2 linked regions of the Lytechinus pictus genome follow. Each later gene encodes a partner of the first gene's protein in a complex. Links are inferred from orthologs where the notes say so. Each region holds a gene or a part of one and is shown in the gene's direction. Other genes may lie near its edges.

What was found. Proteins that work in one complex are often made in the same cells at the same time.
Region 2: small nuclear ribonucleoprotein F-like (region 1) and small nuclear ribonucleoprotein-associated protein B'-like share a complex: the UniProt entries of both Homo sapiens proteins name them as parts of the U7 snRNP complex. The link is inferred for Lytechinus pictus from reciprocal best matches to the Homo sapiens genes SNRPF and SNRPB.

What each region holds. Positions count from the first base shown.
Region 1 is NC_087247.1:76,326,588-76,337,150, forward strand, and holds the start of small nuclear ribonucleoprotein F-like, read left to right. Parts: upstream 1-5,562; 5' UTR 5,563-5,602; coding exon 5,603-5,725; intron 5,726-10,563. UniProt on the Homo sapiens protein: Plays a role in pre-mRNA splicing as a core component of the spliceosomal U1, U2, U4 and U5 small nuclear ribonucleoproteins (snRNPs), the building blocks of the spliceosome.
Region 2 is NC_087246.1:62,255,742-62,266,874, forward strand, and holds the start of small nuclear ribonucleoprotein-associated protein B'-like, read left to right. Parts: upstream 1-6,377; 5' UTR 6,378-6,481; coding exon 6,482-6,484; intron 6,485-11,112; coding exon 11,113-11,133. Other genes in the region: negative elongation factor D-like, read right to left, coding at 563-711, 6,083-6,130. UniProt on the Homo sapiens protein: Plays a role in pre-mRNA splicing as a core component of the spliceosomal U1, U2, U4 and U5 small nuclear ribonucleoproteins (snRNPs), the building blocks of the spliceosome.

The sequences.
Region 1 (10,563 bases):
TTAAGGTATCAAAGAAAACAGCATATATTGAACTTTTTAGTCATGAGATTTTCTTTTTGAAATTCAGATACCCCCCGCCAAATGAGTTTTTGGCATCCTTTCTTCGAATTGTTTTTGCTCACTCATGCGTGAATGAGGAATAATCTAAGTAATACCAGATGAAAGAGGAGATTCTAAGCTTTACATTGGTAGGTAATTTATCTATTTTATTTATGATTAAGTTATGATAAATCATCGCTAAATCTCGGTTTCGTTTTTTTGGGGACGCACTGTATAATAAGACCACATTCATAATCAATATATTTCTCCTTTAAGGCAGTAAAAGTAGCAGAACTGTTATCAGAGATGCCTTTTTTGCTTCAATGGGGGCTCCAAAATGGTGACTTTTCAACAAATAGCAAAATACCGCAAATTTAGTGGGGTAACTTCTACAGCCGCCTGAAGGGGAAAGGCTTCGATTTGCCAACATTTATTTATAGGTAGCTGATAGAGCAAACTAGCAAAGCCTACTCTTTCCTCTCCAAGTCATTACAAGAAAATAAAATTGGCTGTACTAGTATTATAGTAGAAATGCGCTTTTGACTTAATGGGTGATCCAAAAGGTCAAAATGGTGAAATATCCAATGAATAGGCAATATACATTATACATGTATAGGGGGGAAGTTTATTTAGATAGCCCCTGAGAGGTCTAGGGTTCAATTACTTTGGGCGAAGTTCGTGCAGGCTCCACTCCACTTCACTACCGCTACACTACGCTCCACCTACCCGAACTTCGGGACGGTGAACCAATTCGGATATACCGAGTCACAAAGGTGGGATGACAATCATGTTTATTGTAAAAATTAAAGAAAAAAAATATAACGACAAAGATGAATAACTTGATATCTTATTCTACACCCGTATTTCACTCCGTGTCCATCCTCTGGTTATCCTCAAAGTTGGTGATTTTGGGCCAATATCAGTTTCCTCACACGTATTACTCACGGCCGATTTAAAAACATCGCATACGATCGGTTGCGCCGATCGCATGCAATGTTTTGAAATCGGCCGTGACAAAAGCGCTTTTGCCTTGTTTTTTCAGAAAAGTAGTCAGTAAGCAATTTTTTTTAACATGACACATCCGTTTTTGTCTTGCCTGCATAGCAGAGCGAGACTATAGGCGCCGCTTTTCCGACGGCGGCGGCGGCGTCAACATCAAATCTTAACCTAATGTTAAGTTTTTGAAATGACATCATAACTTAGAAAGTATATGGACCTAGTTCATGAAACTTAGACATAAGGTTAATCAAGTATTACTGAACATCCTGCTTGAGTTTCAGGTCACATGACTAAGGTCAAAGGTCATTTAGGGTCAATGAACCTAGACCATGTTGGGAGAATTATTTTCAAAATCTTAACCGAAGGTTAAGTTTTTGAAATGACATCATAACATAGAAAGTATATGGACCTAGTTCATGAAACTTGGGCATAAGGTTAATCAAGTATTAGTGAACATCCTGCTTGAGTTTCAGGTCACATGACCAAGGTCAAAGGTCATTTAGGGTCAATGAACTTTGGTCAAGTTGGGTTTTTTTGTTGAATTCAGGCATGAAAATTCTCCGCGTTTCCGCGGATTTCCGCGTTTTTTGTTTGCTGAATTTCCATTTTTTTACTCCTAAAATCCGCGTTTTAATTTCCGATTTTTAGCGCTTAAATGGTTTAGCATATCTTACGTGTTATATGACGTTTGGCCTTTACAACGATTGCGCAGGAATCTCTTATCTAGCACATCTCAACTCTACACGTGTATTTCGCGGTGTGTTTTACGTTTCTGTGCATGCAGTGCAGCGGTGGTGTGCTTGCAATCGCTGGGGGCAACCCGGCGCGCCGGGCATGCAGCGACCGGGCGCGCATATCATATCGGACCGGTGGAAGACCGATAAAGAAGCTGAATGTGCTCGCAGAGATTTGTGACGTGACATGGAATTTTCATGACGCATTTATAATTCGCGAATATTAATTTGCTGGAAATCCAAGAATTTTGTTTTTTCTTGTTGTTGTAATAACGAATCAAGAAAAATGGCATTTTGTGGGGGACTAACTTGTGACCGCACAGATGTTGTGGATAGACTTTCAAAAGATGTTCATGAAATTGACCGTGGACTTGCTAATATGTGGCGATGGAGTTGGTTAGAGGTGGAGGTGAGAGGACCCGACAATTCTTCATACAACCTGCTTGAAGTGATCAGGAAACTTGATAAACCAGGGAAGTGCTATTGCTATTTTTTAGTATTTTTTAGTTTTTTTTTATTGAATTTTGGACAAAAAATCCATATAAATACTTCATTACAATCATTCAACTCAAACAGGTTTTTGGAGTTGTAAAATTGATAAAACCCAGGAGCTTCCGGGGGCGTTGCCCCCTGGACCCCACCCGTTAGCAGCGAGCGGCAAGCCGCTCGCCCGGTGGGCTTCGCCCACCGTCTTGTCAACGACATTTCCTAAACCCTTTCAGCTTTTTTTTTCATACCCAATTTTCATGCCTGTGAATTACTATCATAACTTTGAAAATTTATGGATCTAGTTCATGAAACTGGGACATAAGGTTAATCAAGTATTAGTGAACATCCTGCCTGAGTTTCAGGTCACATGGCCAAGGTCATTTAGGGTCAATGAACTTTGGCCAAGTTGGGGGTATTTGTTGAATTACCTTCATAACTTTGAAAATTTATGGATCTAGTTCATGAAACTTGGACATTAGGTTAATCAAGTACCACTGAATATCCTGTGCAAGTTTCAGGTCACATGACCATGGTCAATGGTCATTTAAGGTCAATGAACTTTAGCCGTGTTGGGAGTCTTTGTTAAATTACCATCCTAACTCTGAAGGTTTATGGATCTAGTTCATAAAACTTGGACATAAGAGTAATCGAGTATCACTGAACATCTTGTACGAGTTTCAGGTCACATGACCATGGTCAAAGGTCATTTAAGGTCAATGAACTTTTGCCGTGTTGGGGGTATTTGTTGAATTACCATCCTAACTCTGAAGTTTATGGATCTATTTCATAAAACTTGGGATATAAGAGTAATTAAGTATCACTAAACATCCCCTGTGAGTTTCAGGTCACAAAACCAAGGTCAAAGGTCAGTTAAGGTCAATAACACCATATTCTGTGCCTTAGTGACACTCTTGTTGCTCCTGATATTGTAAAATTTATAGTAATATATTTAGCATATATTTCTAGCTTCAAAATGAGATCTTGCTCAATAAATTTGGTCAAGATGCTGTGATGTACATGTAGCAACAATTCTTCCATGGCACCATTTTGAAAATTGTTCATCCACCACCCTTTTTGCATACCCAACTTATGAAATGCGACCATAAGTGCTGTTGTTGGGAACAAAAATCCATGTCGACATGTCGCTTGAAAATTAATCCTGACATCGACAATGTCGACATGAAAAAGGGACCGTAATTTAGCCTAGGCTCCCTAACATAACATGAAAAAAATCATTCGATCGTGGAACATAACATTTACACTCTCAATCAAATGTATTAACCTTGACACGAGTGATATCCCATGCGCACACTAACTCAAGATCGATAAAATACAGGCTCAGTTCGGGAAAACATATTTTCACTAAGCTAGAGTGAATTCACTTCCAAAATCACTGATGTAATCCACATTTTTTCTGAAGAATCAAGTTTTTGTACCACGATCCGGTCTCGAAAGCATTGCGCAACACTCGGTGCCAATTTGAGAATCACCAATTACAACAGTGATCATTGCATAATATACGCTAGTACACATGTGCTGCAAATGCAAGCACCTCAAATTGACAATAAAAAATAATGAAAATTGACCGATAATTTCAGTATCACTTCCGCGGCGATCCGTGCAACGATCTCCAAACAAAGAAAGGGAAGTTTTCTTTGACTTCGTGATATGAAGTAAGCTCTCAATTACGGCGGTCACAACTTTGACAAAAACGCTGCTGCTCACGTTTATGTGAAAAGTAATGGATTGAGGAGCAACGTATTATCAAGCACGGTGAATAGCGATGGGTACGGTGAATGCTACGCTACTCTCGCTATAGCGCTACATATAGATCTAGAGAGATAGTCAGGATCGAGGGCGGCTTGATCGGGCAGGCCGGCCCCGCACTGACTTATTTCTGCTGCTACGCAGCTCGCAGGTATTCTTTTTTCATTTAATGCGCTGCTAAGCTGAATAAACCTTTTAATCGCGCCAATTACTGTGGATAAATGCTTCTAACTTTTCAGCTAAGCTTTACACTCGTGACTTAAGGCTAGACCTCTTTTTATTTTATGTTTACATGTCGATGTGGGTGCGTGCATGTCGACATGTCAGAATTTTGAAATTCCTTTGTATGGCGACATCAATGTCGATATGAGGCCTATCGACAACAGCACTAGCGACCATATAATTCATTATATTTTATGATGGCTAACTTAGGAATTTTTTAATTCCAAAATAGTTTATCTTCTCATTTTGCATTGCTGTATGTAGTGTACAAAGAATATAAACACAGGGAACTATCCACAAGCTGAATTAAGGTTATGAAATGTTTTCACAGAGGTAGAGTGGTCCGAATTTGGTCTTGGAGGCTTTTGGAGTTTAACATGCAAACTTGTTTGTTCGGCATCTGCAATAATTGGGCCATATCGTGAATGCTGACTCCGGAGTCATAAAGTATGTGGTACCTGAATTTCACTACACACTGAGACCCGTTGATTTTCAATAGATTTAGTAGCCTAAGAGATTTTTCGATTTCTGCGCCGAAACCTCTATATTGTTTTATGCAAAACACTTAACTAGTTCTCGCGCTGTTACAAGACTCGCACATGGGACAATTTAAACGTTGACATGACGTTGACAATAAATTCTCACGTCATCACCCCCCCCCAAATCATAATTTGCTATTCAATAATTTAGCCGTAATTGGTAAATGATGAAATGTCATTTTCTGAATAAAAGTTAGTGGATAGGCCTACATGTATACAGTTTCTGGAAGTGAAATTTCCAATAATAACTCTCAATAGTTTGAATATTAATAAGCAAATTCATCTTGAAATTTGTTTCTTCATTAATGTGCAGATAGCTTAGTGTGTCGGTATGTACATGTATGATAAATTCTAAAGAAAGAGTCGGGGAATACCCCTAAGTAACCCCCAAATTGACAAGAATTCAATGACAAACTGCACATTCATCACGATCGTCTAGGCGGCCATGGCATCAGGAGTAAGTTTAACACTGTAGGTGACTGATGTAATTCCTTGATGATGTGACAGTCAACGTAGAAATGCACTGTAGATTTATCTCTGCATGGTCATGGAAATGGTACCGGTATTCTATGCTAATGGTGATATTAGGATTGTGAGGAAAGTTTTTGACTTTATGACTCGGGCTTTGAGAGTATTTTCTTGTGATTACCATACTTTATGGTGAATAAATGTGCTAACTGGCTATGATCATATGATAGGTGGGCAAATATTGGGTTTGGTCTAAAGTACATGTAGGCGTGTTACACTCCAAGCAATGGCAAATATTCTTGAGCTTTAAATTTGAATTTTTTTACTACTATATGTATACAGGGAATGCCACTGAATCCCAAGCCATTTTTAAATGGACTCACTGGAAAGCCTGTGATGGTTCGTCTCAAATGGGGAATGGAGTACAAGGGCTACTTAGTATCTGTTGATGGTTACATGAATGTTCAGGTAAGTTAAATATTAATGTTAACTTTAAAATAGACAGTCATAGCCATAGACATATCTATTGATCAATTATTAACATGAAGCCAGGCTAGACTCATTCAACTTGACATGAGACAGGAAAAAATATTATTACATACAGTACTTATTTAATGTCTTGTTTATGCTTCTTAAAGCCCAAAGTTCTTCCCCAATTTTATACAATTATTTATCATTTTAATGCATTTGAATAACTTTTTTAGAAAAAAATTTGAGCAGATATGTATACTCAAACAATGTACACAAAAAGTTCTGTATTTCAATTTGCCAATTATTTAGTCAAGAAGAATAGTAAAAAAAATTAATATATTTCATGTCAAATCCAATGCAATCTCCTTGTAAAGTGTAATATTCTGCTTGTATTCTATTCTCCTCTGCGTTTTTTCTCGTCATTCTCAATGAACGACTCTCATGAAAATAGTGCTGCTAAGTCAGGCAGCATGTTCGAGTTTGGTTCTGCAATTTTTTTCAGAACTTTGGTTCGAAACTATAAAATAATGGATCGCCATTTGCGAACCCTCAGCCAGTTTGTCACAACGAAGGTCTGTCATATATTTATAATGAATTTTGTTTCTATAAAGAATGGTTATGAAAATTGTTGCTTATAGTTATAGACTACTGTAAAAGTGGAAAATTTTGCGGTGTGGAAATTTTTACACTTGATACATGACAAACTTCACAATAAAATACTGAAGAGCATGACAATTTTTATTTTTTATTTTTTTTTTTTACTTTAGTTCAATTTTTCTTCCAACTGTAAATATATTCATAAACATGATAATACGACTATCATTATTGCTAAGAAACATGGCATTCTTTTATTGGGAGGGGGGAGGGGGGGTTATGCTTCCAACATAAAATGATTTACTTCACAAAAATTGAAAAAAAAAACAAGCGTAGCAACATTATTGTTTCAATTTCATATGGTCTACGGTATGTAAACTTGGATAAACAAAATAAAGACAGGCATGTGAGTGGGGTAGAAAAAAGAAAAGAAAATATTTTGTTGCAACAATCGAGGGAGCAGAGCGATCGTGCGGCGGATGGGTGTGAGAGGGGGGTGTCTCCTCTCCCACAGTCTGGCCTGACGCTTTTTTAATTTTGTATGTCAAATGGTGCAATTTGAAGCATACTTTTGATGACAATTTCTAGGTATTTTTGGAGTTGGCAAACTGTACCAAAAAAAAAAAATTGATACAGTTCTACTGACTGTAGTTATTCCTAGGCCTGGTTGACATACATGTATGTCTAGATATATAAAGTCTGAAAGTCAATATAAAAAAATTGACAAAAGTAATTCAGTAACCAACTCCTGATCAGTCCTCTTCCAAAATTAGTTCCAAATTTGTTTGATATTATGAACAGTCTCACAGTTTAATTAATTAAAAAAGCGATCTTCGTCCATATAGCGGGCCTCAGCAAACAACTCTGCGGCTAGTGTCCTGTACAATTCCAGCTCTAGATCTAGTCATGTTTGCTTCTTTCCGTGACAAAGTCATTGATTAGCGAATCACTCTACTTTAAAAAATAAGTTCAAATTTGGTGTGCCACTATGAACAAATCAGTACTTCATGACTGTAAAAATTATTCGTATCCTGAGCTGAGAAAGTAAAATTTTAATCCGATATAAATCTGAAATGATGAGATCATTCATACATATAGGCGAGCACTTGACAAGAGAAATTGAAGCAGCAGGACTTCGGCAAAATGAGCGGGCCGTCAGCAAACGCTAGCAGGCTGGGGTGCTGATACTACTACGGAAATAGAAAATATTGACAATGGAAAAATATTTCAAATTTAGGATATGAATTTAACCAATATAAAAGCAGCTGAGAATAGGTTGATTCGACTTCCTGTTTCAACTTAACGCGATTGGGAACATGCTTTGAATTTTGTTATCTCTTCTGTTCTTTAAAATTCTATTTCTACCCTTATTCCTTCATCTCTTATTGTCTCGCCTGCATAGCAGAGTGAGACTAGGTGCCGCTTTTCCAACAGGGACGGCGGTGTCGTCAACATTGAAATCTTAACCAAGGTTAAGTTTTTGAAATGTCATAACTTATGAAAATATATGGAACAAACTTTGATAATGTTGGGGGTATGTTAGGAATTGTCATCATAACTTTAAAAAGTTAATAGATCTAGTTCATGGAAACTTGGAACATGAGAGTAACCATGTATCCCTGAATATCTTGTGTGTGTTTCAGGTCACATCAGAGTGCAGGATAGTGCGAGTTCTAGAAATTGGAATTATCAAAATTACATGTATCTAGAATTTAGAAGAAATATAGCATTCGGGGCTGTACAACTGTCACGGCTTTGAGGCCAGTGAAAAGCACAAGAAAGCCTATTTTTTTAAAGCCTGGTAACAGTTTGTGTTATTTCAATACTAACAGTGACTTTAAGCTGATAATTGCAAATCTTGTTCCTTTCTGGTTCTTTTTTAAGCTCCAAATAATACATAAAGTCACATATTTATCTTTTGACCTTGACATTGATCTAAAAATAGCTGTAAATGCCATAAAAATTGGCAAAACCTGTGAGATTTACAACACATTTCCAAATTGATGTTTTCACAGAATGAATGCCTGATCATGTTGATAATTTGCAGTATCGGTAGTCCATAATGAGTACTTGGATGATTTAGTATTAATTAATTTGTCTTACTTTTTTCAAGGTCATTGCCAATAAGACAAACTATTTGTGATGCATAGGAGGAGGGAATTTATGTCTTTATTAAATACAAAACGATTTGGACCGATTAAAATCACAATCGATTATGGCAATCCGTAATTCAACCACTTTTGTACAAGTTTAGCTTCAAATGTCCTCTCATTTTATGAAGAAAATAATATATTCATGTTTATAAATATCTGAAATTGATAACAATTCAATCAAAGACGAGACCGAAGCTTTCAAAATGGATTTAAAAAAACATTTTGTGTGAAATTCTTATTGTGCACAATCACTAATAAAAAAAAAAGTTTTTATTTTATACTTAAATCTATGGAGTCCCTTCTGGTGTTATTCAACGCCCAAGAATGTTCTGTAATCTGATTGGTCCAAAACGGATCACATGATATTCAGCGAATCGCACTATTGCATCCAAAATGCACTATCCTGCACTCTGACGTCAAAGTGCAGGATAGTGCGAGTTCTGGAATTATCAAGAATTTTCTAGAAATTAGATCAAATATAGCATTCGGGGCAACTCAGTAATATGGGTGAGGGGGGGGGGGTCATATAAAACAAACAATACACACATTCTTGTGCAGAGAGGACCTAAATAATGAACTCTGTGCTCGACTCGCCAAAAGGATACACCGCACTCGGTCTTGTGGACCTCTGTGTGGTATATCCATGGACTCTTCCGTATACATTCGTAATTCCGAAGGTTCGGATATTCCGAAGGATCGTTAATCCGAAAGCGAAATGAGGTTCGATGTTCCGAAGGTTCGACAATCCGAAAACGAAATGAGGTTCGTTGTTCATTTCGTTTTCGGACTAACGAACCTTTGGAATTACGAGCTTTATTTTGTTTTCGGACTAACGAACCTTCGGAATTACGACTCTCATTTCCTTTTCGGATTAACGAACCTTCAAAATTACGCCACAAATGTTCGGATTAACGAACCCTTTTTCGTTTTCGGATTAACGAACATCGAGGTATAGGCAATTTACGTGTTTCGGAATTACGAACCTTCAGAATTACGAAGTCAAAGTGTAACCGACTCTTCTAGCACAGTGTTCATTATTTGGTTGCCCCTGAAGGAACGCATAGTCTTTAAGACCCTTCTTTTGATTTTTTTTTTAATAGTCCATGTAACTTCCCCCAGTTAGTCTTTGATGCATAATTACCAACCTTCAAGAACCTTACGATCCTCATTATCTCTTAATCTCTTCCAAATTCCAGTTGCTAAGAAATCATGCGGGGAACGGGCCTTTGTTCATGCAGGGCCTAACCTGTGGAATTTTCCCACAGAGTTTGAAAACTTAGACTTCAGTGACCACTTTCAAGGGCAACGTGAAAACATGTACCTGTTTCAGAGTGCTTTTTGATAGACATTGACTTATTATTCAGACATGTATTTTATGCAAGTAGCTTTTGTTGTTGTTCTGCTCTGAAGTGCCTTGAGCATCTAATCAAGATGGAAAGTGCGCTATACAAATCCCATGTATTATTACTATTAATTAAAGAAATATGTGATATTTGATTTAATACAAATCTAACCTAGAGAAGGCCTCGAAAACCAGAGTTAACCATTTTGACCTAGACACAGAATTCTCATAAGGCATCCAAACTTACATGCATACCGCTATAATTGTTGACATTGGCTGAGGACAAGTTGAGAGTGGATGTTGAGGGGCAGATATAAAGTCCTGTATACTTAGGGACAGTGATTTTCCGCGATCGCGGAAAACGGAGGGAATTCACGGAAAGGGCCTTTTGAAACGGAAAGTGGCATATCAAACGTAAAATCACGGAAAACGTATTTTCCCTCAAAATACACAGAATAGCAACAGAAATTACTCCAAAATCACAACAAAATGAGAATATTGAATGGCCACAAAACCCCAGAAAACACGATCTCACTTCGCTACTATCATGACAATTCACACATCGTTACATCGACATCAGCACACTCGATTGTACCCCGCACCGTACCCGGCCGGCCGGGTTGGGCTCAAGGTTGGGCTTCACATGCACACATATCGTTCAACTACACGGTCGTGTGTTGCTGCCCTCTACGTTTGAAGATGTAACAGCACGATATCGGGGTCTTAAAATCCAAGATGGCGGATTG
Region 2 (11,133 bases), on another chromosome or scaffold:
GTTATTCAAACTCCACAAACTTCAAACTGCTGGCTCACATGTTTCTCTACCCACCAGGTGCACTCATATTACTCCTTTTTGCAATTCTTACACTGTAAAACAATGTATCACTTTAAAGATTTTGTCGTTAACTTTCCATTGTGTGCATGGGTCTTGCCCCAGTACCTCATTTCATTAATTAAGAGCTATACCCCTTCAAGATCAAAGTTCCTCCACTTCCAGTTCTCTCGTTACCCCCAAAGATTCCCAAACCGTGGGGGAAAGATCATTTGTCTACTCATCAGTTATGAAGCAGCCTTCCTAAAAAAAAACCTATTTGAAAAAACCTATTTTGCTGCACTCAACCCAGGTGAGGTGAATGGGTACCGGTAGGAAGAAATTCCTTGAATGCTTGAGCGCCTAGGCAGCTCAGCTAAAGCCGGGGTAATAATAATAGCAGGGCCTGCTGCTAGAACAGTTTTCGAAACTGAAGTGGCTACCCTGGGTAAATATACCTATATTATTATTATTATTATAACCTATTTGAACAAGAAAATAGAATCTTAATATCTATACTATTTACCTCTTGAGATCTTTGAAGACACCAGGTTCCATAATGTAATCTGTACTAGCAAAGGCTTCCAGACATTCTTTCTGGATGTCTTCATTCTCTTTGTATCTATCAGGGTCCTCATCTTCTTCTTCCTCTTCATCCTCATCCACTGGGGCTTCCTGCACAAGAGGAATAATAATACACATTCATTGATTAAACCCATACAGGTCTACAGCTTCTGTCTGATTTTTATTTACTCTGTCTATAGAGTCAGTTTCCAATACAACTATTCATTATATAACTTGGCTCTTAAGTAAATTGAATTCTTTAAATCATTTTTTCTAACTTAGAAATAGAGATTGTTGGAGGACAATTTTCTTGCAATTTTACTTTCCACAAAAATATGCCAAAATTCAAGTTTTTTAGCGTTCTTGTCTGGTGAATACAAGTTTAAATGAAAATTAAATTGCAACTGTAGCCATGGGGAAATGAATTGGTTACAAAAGTAATATTTTAATGAATTCGTGGAATATTTTCCCTAACTCTTAGAATATTTCTGGTATTTTCTGAGCCATCCAATATAATATAAATATTTATGCTGTTCGACCTGCAACCGATCGCATGCGATGTTTTGAAATCGGCCGTGAATAATACGTGTGAGGAATTAGATACTGGCCCAAAATCACCAATTTTGAGGATAACCAGAGGATGGACACGGAGTGAAATACGGGTGTAGAGTAAGAAATTAAGCTATTTTTCTTTCTCGTTATATTTTTTTTCTATAATTTTCACAATAAATAACTTTTTATCCCACCTTTGCCTCTAGTGGTATCCGAAAGAGTTCACGGTCCCGAAGTTCGGGTAGGTGGAGTGTAGTGTAGCGGTAGTGAAGTGGAGCCTGCACGAACTTCGCCCGAGGTAAATGGCCATATGTTTATGTATTAAGTTTGGATAAAACAGGGAAGTGAAGTTGCGCGACAGCCGAAATCACTGTTTTTTCTTCTTTTAAGTTTATTTTTCCCCGTTTTGGTGCATTTGAGGCCAAACGGAATAATAATCTTTATTTTGGTACAGTTCTTTTTACATAACATATTTTTATGAAATAAAGTCTTAAAGACAAAATTTGATGAGCCCTGTGACTGTCGGGGGGATTTTGCATTAACCCCCCTACCTCGGGCAAAGTTCGTGCAGGCTCCACTCCACTACCGCTACACTACGCTCCACCTACCCGAACTTCGGGACCGTGAACTCTTTCGGATACCACTAGAGGCAAAGGTGGGATAAAAAAAAAAAAAAAAAAAAAAAAAAAAAGCTTAATTTCTTACTATTCACCCTTATTTCACTGTGTCCATCCTCCAGTTATCCTCAAAATTGGTGATTTTGGGCCAGTATCAAATTCCTCACACATATTATTCACGGCCTATTTCAAAACATTGTATGCGCGTATCGAGTGGACCTTGATCCTAAGTAATAGCAACACTGATGTGTGTTGCTGCCCTCTACGTTCGTTGCATGCAATGTTTTGAAATGGGCCTTGATTCGATCTATTCCTCATGAAAAATTACCCTTTTTCACCGTCTACTTTTGTTTTGATAAGGATTTTTGTTGTCATCCACACACAAAACAAATGGGCTTCTGACCTTAGTGAGACAAAATTTTGGGAGGAAAAAATTACGCTTTTGTTGGTGTTGTATTTGTTCTTTTGCAAAGCAAGTCTCCAATAGTGGAGATTGTCTCCCATATTGGACTTGGAGAGTCTCCCATATTGGCTGTGCGCCTCTACTGTTCATTGGGGAGTAAGCCTACGAGGCTACGTTAGTAGATGACTTTTGCTCCAGGCTACCCATAACCTTGTTCATAAAAAATCATAGAATGAGTGCTAACCCCCTATGTAGCCAGGCGGCTTCTTGAGAGTAAAAATCATTTACTAACGAAGGCTTACTCTAAACGAAGCCAGGGAGTCCTTCCTATTCATCTGCGTGTACCGCAAAAAACCCTGAAACTTTCGCCCCCGAGATGTACTTTCCTTCTAGTTCTAAAAGATCTAGCTCTAAATCATTCTATGCTCTCGTTGTTATTTTTAAACAAGAATTCATCCAAAAAAATGAAAAAATATTGTGAAAAGACGGAAGAGACTTGCCCGATGTTTACGCCGCCATCTTGTTTCTTATTGTACTTCCCCAACGTTACGGACGCGAGCGTCAAGTCTCTTCCGTCTTTTCACAATATTTTTTCATTTTTTGGATAAATTCTTGTTTAAAAATAACAACAAGAGCGTAGAAATGTCGGAAATGAAGTTTTATCCCATGTACATGATTTAGAGCTAAATCTTTTAGAAGGAAAGTAGAAATCTCGGGGGCGAAAGTTTCAGGGTTTTTTGCGGTACACGCAGATGAATAGGAAGGACTCCCTGGCTTCGTTTAGAGTAAGCCTACGACAATGATTTTTACTCTCAAGAAGCCGCCTGGCTACCCTTATGGCACTCCTAGTACCAATGAGGTCCAACATTACATGTATGGACCTCATAGGCGACATCAGTAGTATTTTTGGTTAGAAATCTCTGAGAACAGGATATTTATATGTTATATCACAAGTACAAGCTATATTCCTTTCTCTTATTTAAATTATAATTTTATAGTGTAAATGCATCGTTAGCAACAAAAAAAAATGAAAGAAATGAAGGGGAACTTACATTTTCACGGCTTTTTCCTGATTTTCTGGGCAGCTGCTCTTCTCTTCTGACTCGCGATCGAAGCTGATATGAAGATCACGTGATTCGCGTTCTCGTCAGCTGATCGGTTGGTTATTCTTTTCGTCAGACGTTAATAATATATATTTTATAATGCTAGCATTCATCGCTAATTTAGGTGAAAGAGATTGAAGTTAAACAGCGCCAGGTCGGAATCATAATTATTTTGGAAGAGTGTATTTATAATTATACACTCGATCTCATACCTGACGTAGACGGCGCTATTCAACAAATGCACAATCTTCAATATAAAAAATAAAACAGAAAGAACGCCTTGAACACAGGCCAAAATGCCTAACGATTTCTCCGCGGCATTAACAACTATCGTAAAGGGCGCTCCATTTATCAATAAAGATGGATGCTAAGCTGTCTATGGCGACAAAATTTGCCGCAAATATTTACGAAGAATTGTGAGAAATGGTCTGAAAATGCAACAAAAGAACCGGTGAGTACCGATTAAACATTATCAATTTATTTAATAGAACATATTTAATGACTACAATGTAACAATTTCTAGATAATATTGCTTAGTTCTAAGCTAGGGCGGCCCAAATGCGCGTGAGTGGAGTCCCAGTTTATTAGCACGGGTAAGTATTGGGGTGTCGCCTAGAGTGCCCTTATGGTGGCTGCACGATAGCAACACTCCTAGTAGACCAAAAGCTTCAGTCTCTGTATTTTGGTTGTTCCGCTGAACTACGTTGGCTCCACTCACCATACATAGACTGAAGGGGGTGGGGCCCCGTACCTACAGCCAACGTATAGTGAACTAGCGTTTTATAGATCGCGATTTAAAACTGTTTTTTAAGCAAAATTGAAAGTTTCATGGTTTCCATTATCAGGGAAGTATAAATAAATTAAGTAATTGCATACCTTGGGCCGGAGTTATTGAAAAAAATCCTCTGGATGATTGAGAAATCTGTCATCTAAGACATTTTCACCTGACCTGACGGTTTTTCTTGCAAGTTGCCATCTTGAATGACGTCATTATCGTTATTAACTTAATGTCTCGAATCGATATATCGCGATTATAACTAGTACTAGTACTAGTATAACTAGTATCGTTTATCTTCGGTTTCGATCGCATATGGAGCAGATCGTATAATATCGAAAGCAATATCGATATCACATTCGTGATTGTTGACGTTCGTTTGTAAATATTTTATAGTTTGGCTGCCATTTTGACCATTTTTATCGTGTTCAACCCAATTAAACATCGGTAAAGTATATTTTTCATGCCTTTTTCATCTATATCGTTTAAAGTATTTAAATGTTAGAATATCATCAATTAAAAGTTTGTTGTTTATACATCCTTAGATTGTAAATTCGATGTGTAAAATTACATCAAACTTTGGACTGTGAATTGACAAAAGGGAGGGAATGAGAACACATGCGAGCCCACACGTACACCCTACCGTCGGTAAATGGGGATTACAGTAAAATGTCAGAAATTGTTGAATAAATCCCCAGAAACGACGGTTATTCCTGTCTACACTCCTAGTACCAATGAGGTCCAAACATTAACATGTATGGACCTCATAGGCGACAATGCGTTAAAAACAGGTTAGAACTTCTAAACGTACTGTTTCCTGCACCCAAGTATATTACTCCCAAAATATGAGTTTTGTCCTCGTTTGTTTATCATTTATTAAAAGATTGCCCATTAAATATATTCCTATTCCTAATTTGAATTTAATAAAATAAAGGGAAACTTACATTTGAGTCATTTTTCGATCTTTTTTTGGCAGTCAGTCCGGTCAATGTCGAGTGCGATCAAAGCGGTATGAAGCTGATTTTCAGATCACGTGATACATGTGGTCATCACCTGATCAATCGACTATCCTTTTTTAAAGACCGCAACAATTATAAATTTTATTATAAAATATATATAGAATGAATAATTGCATGATATTATATATATTTCTACAATAAAAAATATTTTGTGATATGAATTTAATATTTGACGTAAAAATCGCTATTTAACAAAATATTTATTAAAAATAAAAAATCAAACAAAATAAAAACGCCTTGGACACAGTGCAAAAAACCTAACAATTTGGCCGCGTTCTTAACAACTATCGTAAGGGGCGCTCTATTTATAAATAAAGTTGCATATGTAGTTGTCTACCGCGACAGGAACAGCCGCAGAATTGAAGCCAGAAGCGTGGGAAATTGCCAGAAAATTCAAGAAAAGAACCGGTGAGTACCGATTTAACAGTACTAATTTATTAAGTAACATTTATTGAATCATTACAAGATTTATTTTTTAGTAAAACAAAGCTTAGTTCTAAGCTAGGGCGGCCCAAATGCGCGTGAGTGGAGTCCCAGTTTATTAGCACGGGTAAGTATTGGGGTGTCGCCTAGAGTGGATAGCAAGCCGTTTGTGTATAATAAGGAGAAATTAAAAAAAATAATTTTAAAAGTGTCAGAAAACTCCTCGAAACAGAGGGCTGCCAGCTGTCTAAGTTCAGCACTGCCACTGGTAATCCGACCTTACCTCGGGCGAAGTTCATGCAGGCTCCGCTCCACTACGCTCGTAGCGTAGTGGTCAGTGGTAGTGAAGTGGAGCCTGCACGAACTTCGCCCGAGGACGAGGTATCGTAACCCTCAGCACTGGCACTGCTACCGCGTTTACCGAACAGCGGCATAGCCATAGGCATAGCCATAGCCAGGCAGAACGGGCGCAGGCACGGGCAAAGTCCGCGGGCCCGGCGCGCCCGCCGGCTGGTATGGAGACGGAGTGCAGTTGGCGCCCAACCCAGACAAATGAGACAATGCTAAAAAGAATTACTAAGCATACGTACAGCCTGGTCATAGTTCCAGTCAACATCTCCATATTCGTCTTCATCCATTTTCAATTCAAGAGATGAAGTTAGAACTGATAAAATAGTCTCCTATAGAGTCCTAATGCAAGACATCGACAACGTAGAAAAGTATGGCCATGGGCGCTGCCATCTTTGTTGTGCTTAAGGACCAATCAAATCGTCTGTAAATTCCCACTTGACAAAGATGGGGTCTGAGACGGACTCTGTAATTGGTTTAATTTCCGTATTGCGCCGCGCGTGCTGTTTGGCGTCATATATTTGCATATATGCTCGCGCTGCTCGAGCCAGCTAGCTGAGCGTGTCGTTTCGCGAATGTTTGTGACGGTCGACGAAAGCAGTCAATATCCTTCTACATCGGGGCTATAACAATCTTTCAAAATGGTAACTATATATTTATATGAATAATATACATATATGCGATGAAATGTATTACGATTTATTTTAATTTATCTAATGAAGCTCACAATTTGTGACTTATTGCGGGGATGTGTGTATTCGAAAACGGTGTCCCACATGTACATATCTGTGTATGTTTCGGTTTTCTCTTTGAAACTAAAAATGGCATTGATTCGGCTTTCATAGAGACTTGTGAAGTCGTTGAAAACAAATTAGCTGTTGTTGTTTTTCAACTTAATATGGCTCTAAATCGTAGAGCTCTGCATTCCTTACCTTACTTGGCCAATTCAAGCCAGATACGGAACGCAGAGCTCCACGTTAACTTTGTTAATGTTACTGTTAGAAAGAATTTTGGTATCTTCTGATCTTGATTCTTGTAACTTGTATTAATTCATTGTATTGTATTTTAATCCAGTTTTGGCTTTTGAGTTGTGGAGCTCAGCCTCGGGAGCTTGAAAAAAAAACTGTTGGACTAAATTTCAAAATTGTATGTGTTGTAAAGAATTATAAAACAATCTGAAACTGAACTTTGCACTTGATCTAATTCTTCACAAATTTTGTGATGTTACGGCGCCAATGCAATTTCACACTGGCCGACTTCGAGTCAGAAATTGCTTGCAAAATTGTCATGGCAAGTAAATTCAGTCACATTTTGAGGTCAATATGCCCCTGCGTTTCTGAATATCGCGATCGGGAATGGTTGTAACTTGTAGAGTAAAGTGCCCAAATATCCACACTTTTTATTTTTTTTAATTTATATTCAATTCAGTTCATTTTATTCAGTCATTTGATCCAAAACAAAAATACAATCATTGAATCAAATATAATTCATGTAGGATCTATGTTTTCTGTGGTATGAATGTTGAATTGTAGTAATGTCATAAAAAACAATTGGAAGAATATGGTAAACAGAATTTATTTACTTAGGATCTACTTACATGTAGTCTTGAGGACTCCATGATCATGATGATGATGTTTTTTTTAATATTTTGACATATATTTCTTCATCGTGGAGTCTTGAATCCCTGTCCATATATGCAAGGCTCGACATTAGCGGTGGCCTGGGGCCACCAGAAATTCACCTCGGGCAACCATTATTGATAAAATGTTAAGTTTTGGTGGCCCGAATCGGACAACCAATAATTTTCAAAGAAGCGCAACTTTTCTCCCGATTTTGCACGCATTTATCAACTTTCTACAGTTCAAATTGCAACCCAATTCGTCATGCGCCCTTTTTGTTGATCTACACACAAATACACACACACAAAGTTTGCATATTAGGCCTACAGCTATAGCATACAGTAGCTATTATCCAGCCAGCCACGCCGGCTGGCGTGAGCTTTGCATGAAGCCACTGCATACAGCTGTGCTCTAGATGGAGCTCCGATAAAAAATGTTGCTGCTAAGAAATCTTCCACAGAACTTTGAAAATCTGAGTCAAAGTCACATTTTACACCAATGAAATGACATTCTACAGTCTATATTACGAAAATTTGGTGTACCCTGATTATTTGCAAGCATTAAGAAGAGGAATTATGACCTCTCTTTTGACTACAAAAGACCGATTTCCAAATGAATTAAAACACATAAAAACACATAGGCAAGTACATCACAGTCCCACATGTGCATTTGTATGTATGTTGATACTTGGTTTCTTTCGAAGCTGTGTCTTTTCTAGCCAAAAATAAACAGACAGTTTCTTTCTTTCTTGTTTATAAATGACTTCTTAAACCACTCTTGAGAAAGTAAATACTTTGGGAAGGCATTTCATTGATATGAAATGTGAATTTTTCCAACATTTTGGCAAATATAGGGAAGGACTTTTCTCACACTTTTTTTCCAGATATAACTTTTGCTGTTTTCTTCTTATTTTTTTTTCTATCATTTTTTTTACAGTGGTTAAACCATTTATACCCCTTCCCATTGAATATGCCTGATTAAAAAATATGTTTCTACTGAAAAAAAAATAAACTAAAGGATATAAAAATAGAAATGTGCCATTCCCAGAAGGTAAGTGAACATTATTTGCTTGGCTTTTAATTATATTCCAGTCAGAATAGACTGTTGCCACAGCTGTTAAAAAATATTCGTAATGGCTTCTTAATTTTCCCCTTTTCCCCATGTTTAAATTAAGTTTGTTTTATTCATTTTTCTTTCACTTTTTTTTTTTCTCTCTAAATTTTTTCTTTTCTTTTTTTCCCTGTTCTTTGTTTTTTCTTTCTTCATTTTCTTTCTTTTGTTTTATTTCACTTATTTCTTTTATTATTTTTGTTTTCTTTTTGTAATATACTTTTTGAAAATTATTTTCATTTGTTTCCCCCTTTTATGCATTGTTCTAATTTTGCAGCATATATTTATGTGATTTTCTCCTGCTATAATATGCTTCAAAAGAGAAAACAGAAATAAACTGGATTTGGGGCCTGCATAATCTAGGTTTTAGGATTCAAAGAGGAAGAAATGAAAAACAATTGTTTTGTACATCTATCTGAGTTTGCTATGCACTATTTATTTACTTTACCAATATGAGTGTGTGTCTATACGGAGATTTAAAAAAAAAGTCCACACAACCTGCGAACAATAAAATTCATTTATTCTCTTTCAATCATTTCATTTTTACAATGATAGAAACAATTTATATTTTACCACAAGCCAATTAGCAAAGTAAAATAACAGCAAACAAGGTTTACATACAAGATGATAAAGTGAAAGTAACTAAGCGTAGTGGCTGCAGAATTAATATTTCAGAAGTTTGTTTTATTAATTTTTAATGTGTTTCTTTATATTTTTCGGGCCACCAAACTTTAATATCGGGCCACTAACAAAAATTATTTGATGATTTTGGTGGCCCGAACGGGCCACCACAAAAAAAAGTTAATGTGGAGCCTTGATATATGTATAAGAGACACATGTACACAAAGATGGATTTTCCTAGGAAATCCATAGTTAGACTAGAGGGTGAAATCGGTTTGTAGGGTCGAATTTTATTTATCTATGAACCTTCAGGCGCCTAATGCGTATAAAGGGATAAAAATTATTTCACTATAAATGGTAAAAATGAGACGTTTCTTACCAGACCCGATCTCCCGTAGATCCCTCGATCCGTTTGTCAACAAAGCAAAGACAATAGACCTGACCCTTGAACCGCTTTGTGATGACATACATCCAACTAGCGATGCCGTTTTGAAGAACAATTTATAGATAAAAATTATTATTTCACAAATACTAAAATTTAATACGTAATTATAAATAATTAGTAGTAAAAATTCATTTTTTCCCCTTTTATTTGGGTGCTATTGCGACCCCATTCTACCCCGTTTTGGAGAGTATCCTCTGCCTAATAATACACGGGCGAGTCCTGGGTTAGGATTGTCCCAGTTTACAATTACAGGGACTGTCTCAGTTTGAAAGATTTCTCCACACAAGAAATCTAGGAAAGTTTATGTAAGTGCAGACACCGATCAAGTGCGCTAGTCAAGTAAACATATTCAGGTTTCATAACAAGATTATTGGAAGACGACAAGTCGTATAAAGTAAACATTGAACTGGGGGGCATTGAGGTCACTGAATCTATTTTTAGCACTCCCTGTAATTGCCATCTATGTTCCCATAAACAAGGACAATCTCAATTTATCAAGACATGAGGACAGAGGATATCTTTTTCTTTTATTTTTTTGGGGGGACAATCCCAATTTATGGACAAGTTCCTCTACTGATCAGAAGCTAGTTTTTTGCCGAATATCGGACAAGGAAGGAGTGGTGTGCGCCACGCAGCTTGGCACCACGATCAATTTCGGCGATTTCAATTGCGCTCTAAAACCCCTAATAGTTGCTGAATTTCAGGTTTGCAAATGCCGATTTTGATTATTTCTATCAATTTTTATATAGAAATCAATAAATAATTATTATTCACTTACCAAACTGACCGCTTTTGGCTCTAAAAATCGGATATCTTTGCTTAGATTCATGGGCCTCTGTTCTGAAAAGCAAGTGCGCTTTTACAGCACACATTTCCAATTCAACCGGCCAAGATGTCCGATATTTGGGAGAGTGCCATATTTGGAATGGTGTCAAATTTCTTGCCGTGGGGAAACCCCACAGTGGCCATTGCAGATTTTTTTGTGATAGATTAAACATACTGTCATTTTAGCCAAAAATAACTTCCCCCTTATGAGATTATTTTCGGTCATCGATCTTTTGGAGTCCAAAATTAGCGAGGGTCATATGGAAGTCAAAATCATGGATTTTACCCCTGGATTTACCCTTGGAATGGACTGATTGCAATAAAATTGACACTGCATGGTTGCAAATTTGCTGATGAAATGTCTCTCAGAGGTGAAGTGGAGAAATATTTTTATCTTGAAAAAGGTTGATTTTATGGAAAAATAACCCCACCAATAAAAAGAGGTATATAAATTATTTTATGAATTAAGCATCACTAGTGCTCTTTTCATTATTCATTAAAAATTTGAAATTGAATTAAATTGTATGTTTAAAAAAATATGTAGGCCTATGTAAAAGAATTATGTGAAAGAATTTTTTTTTATTATGGAAGTACATGTTCGTTTTGTTTTCTGGGATAAAAAGGGAAAAAAATCTTTATCTTTTTGTTCCAGGTGGTGGGCAGGACATCAAAG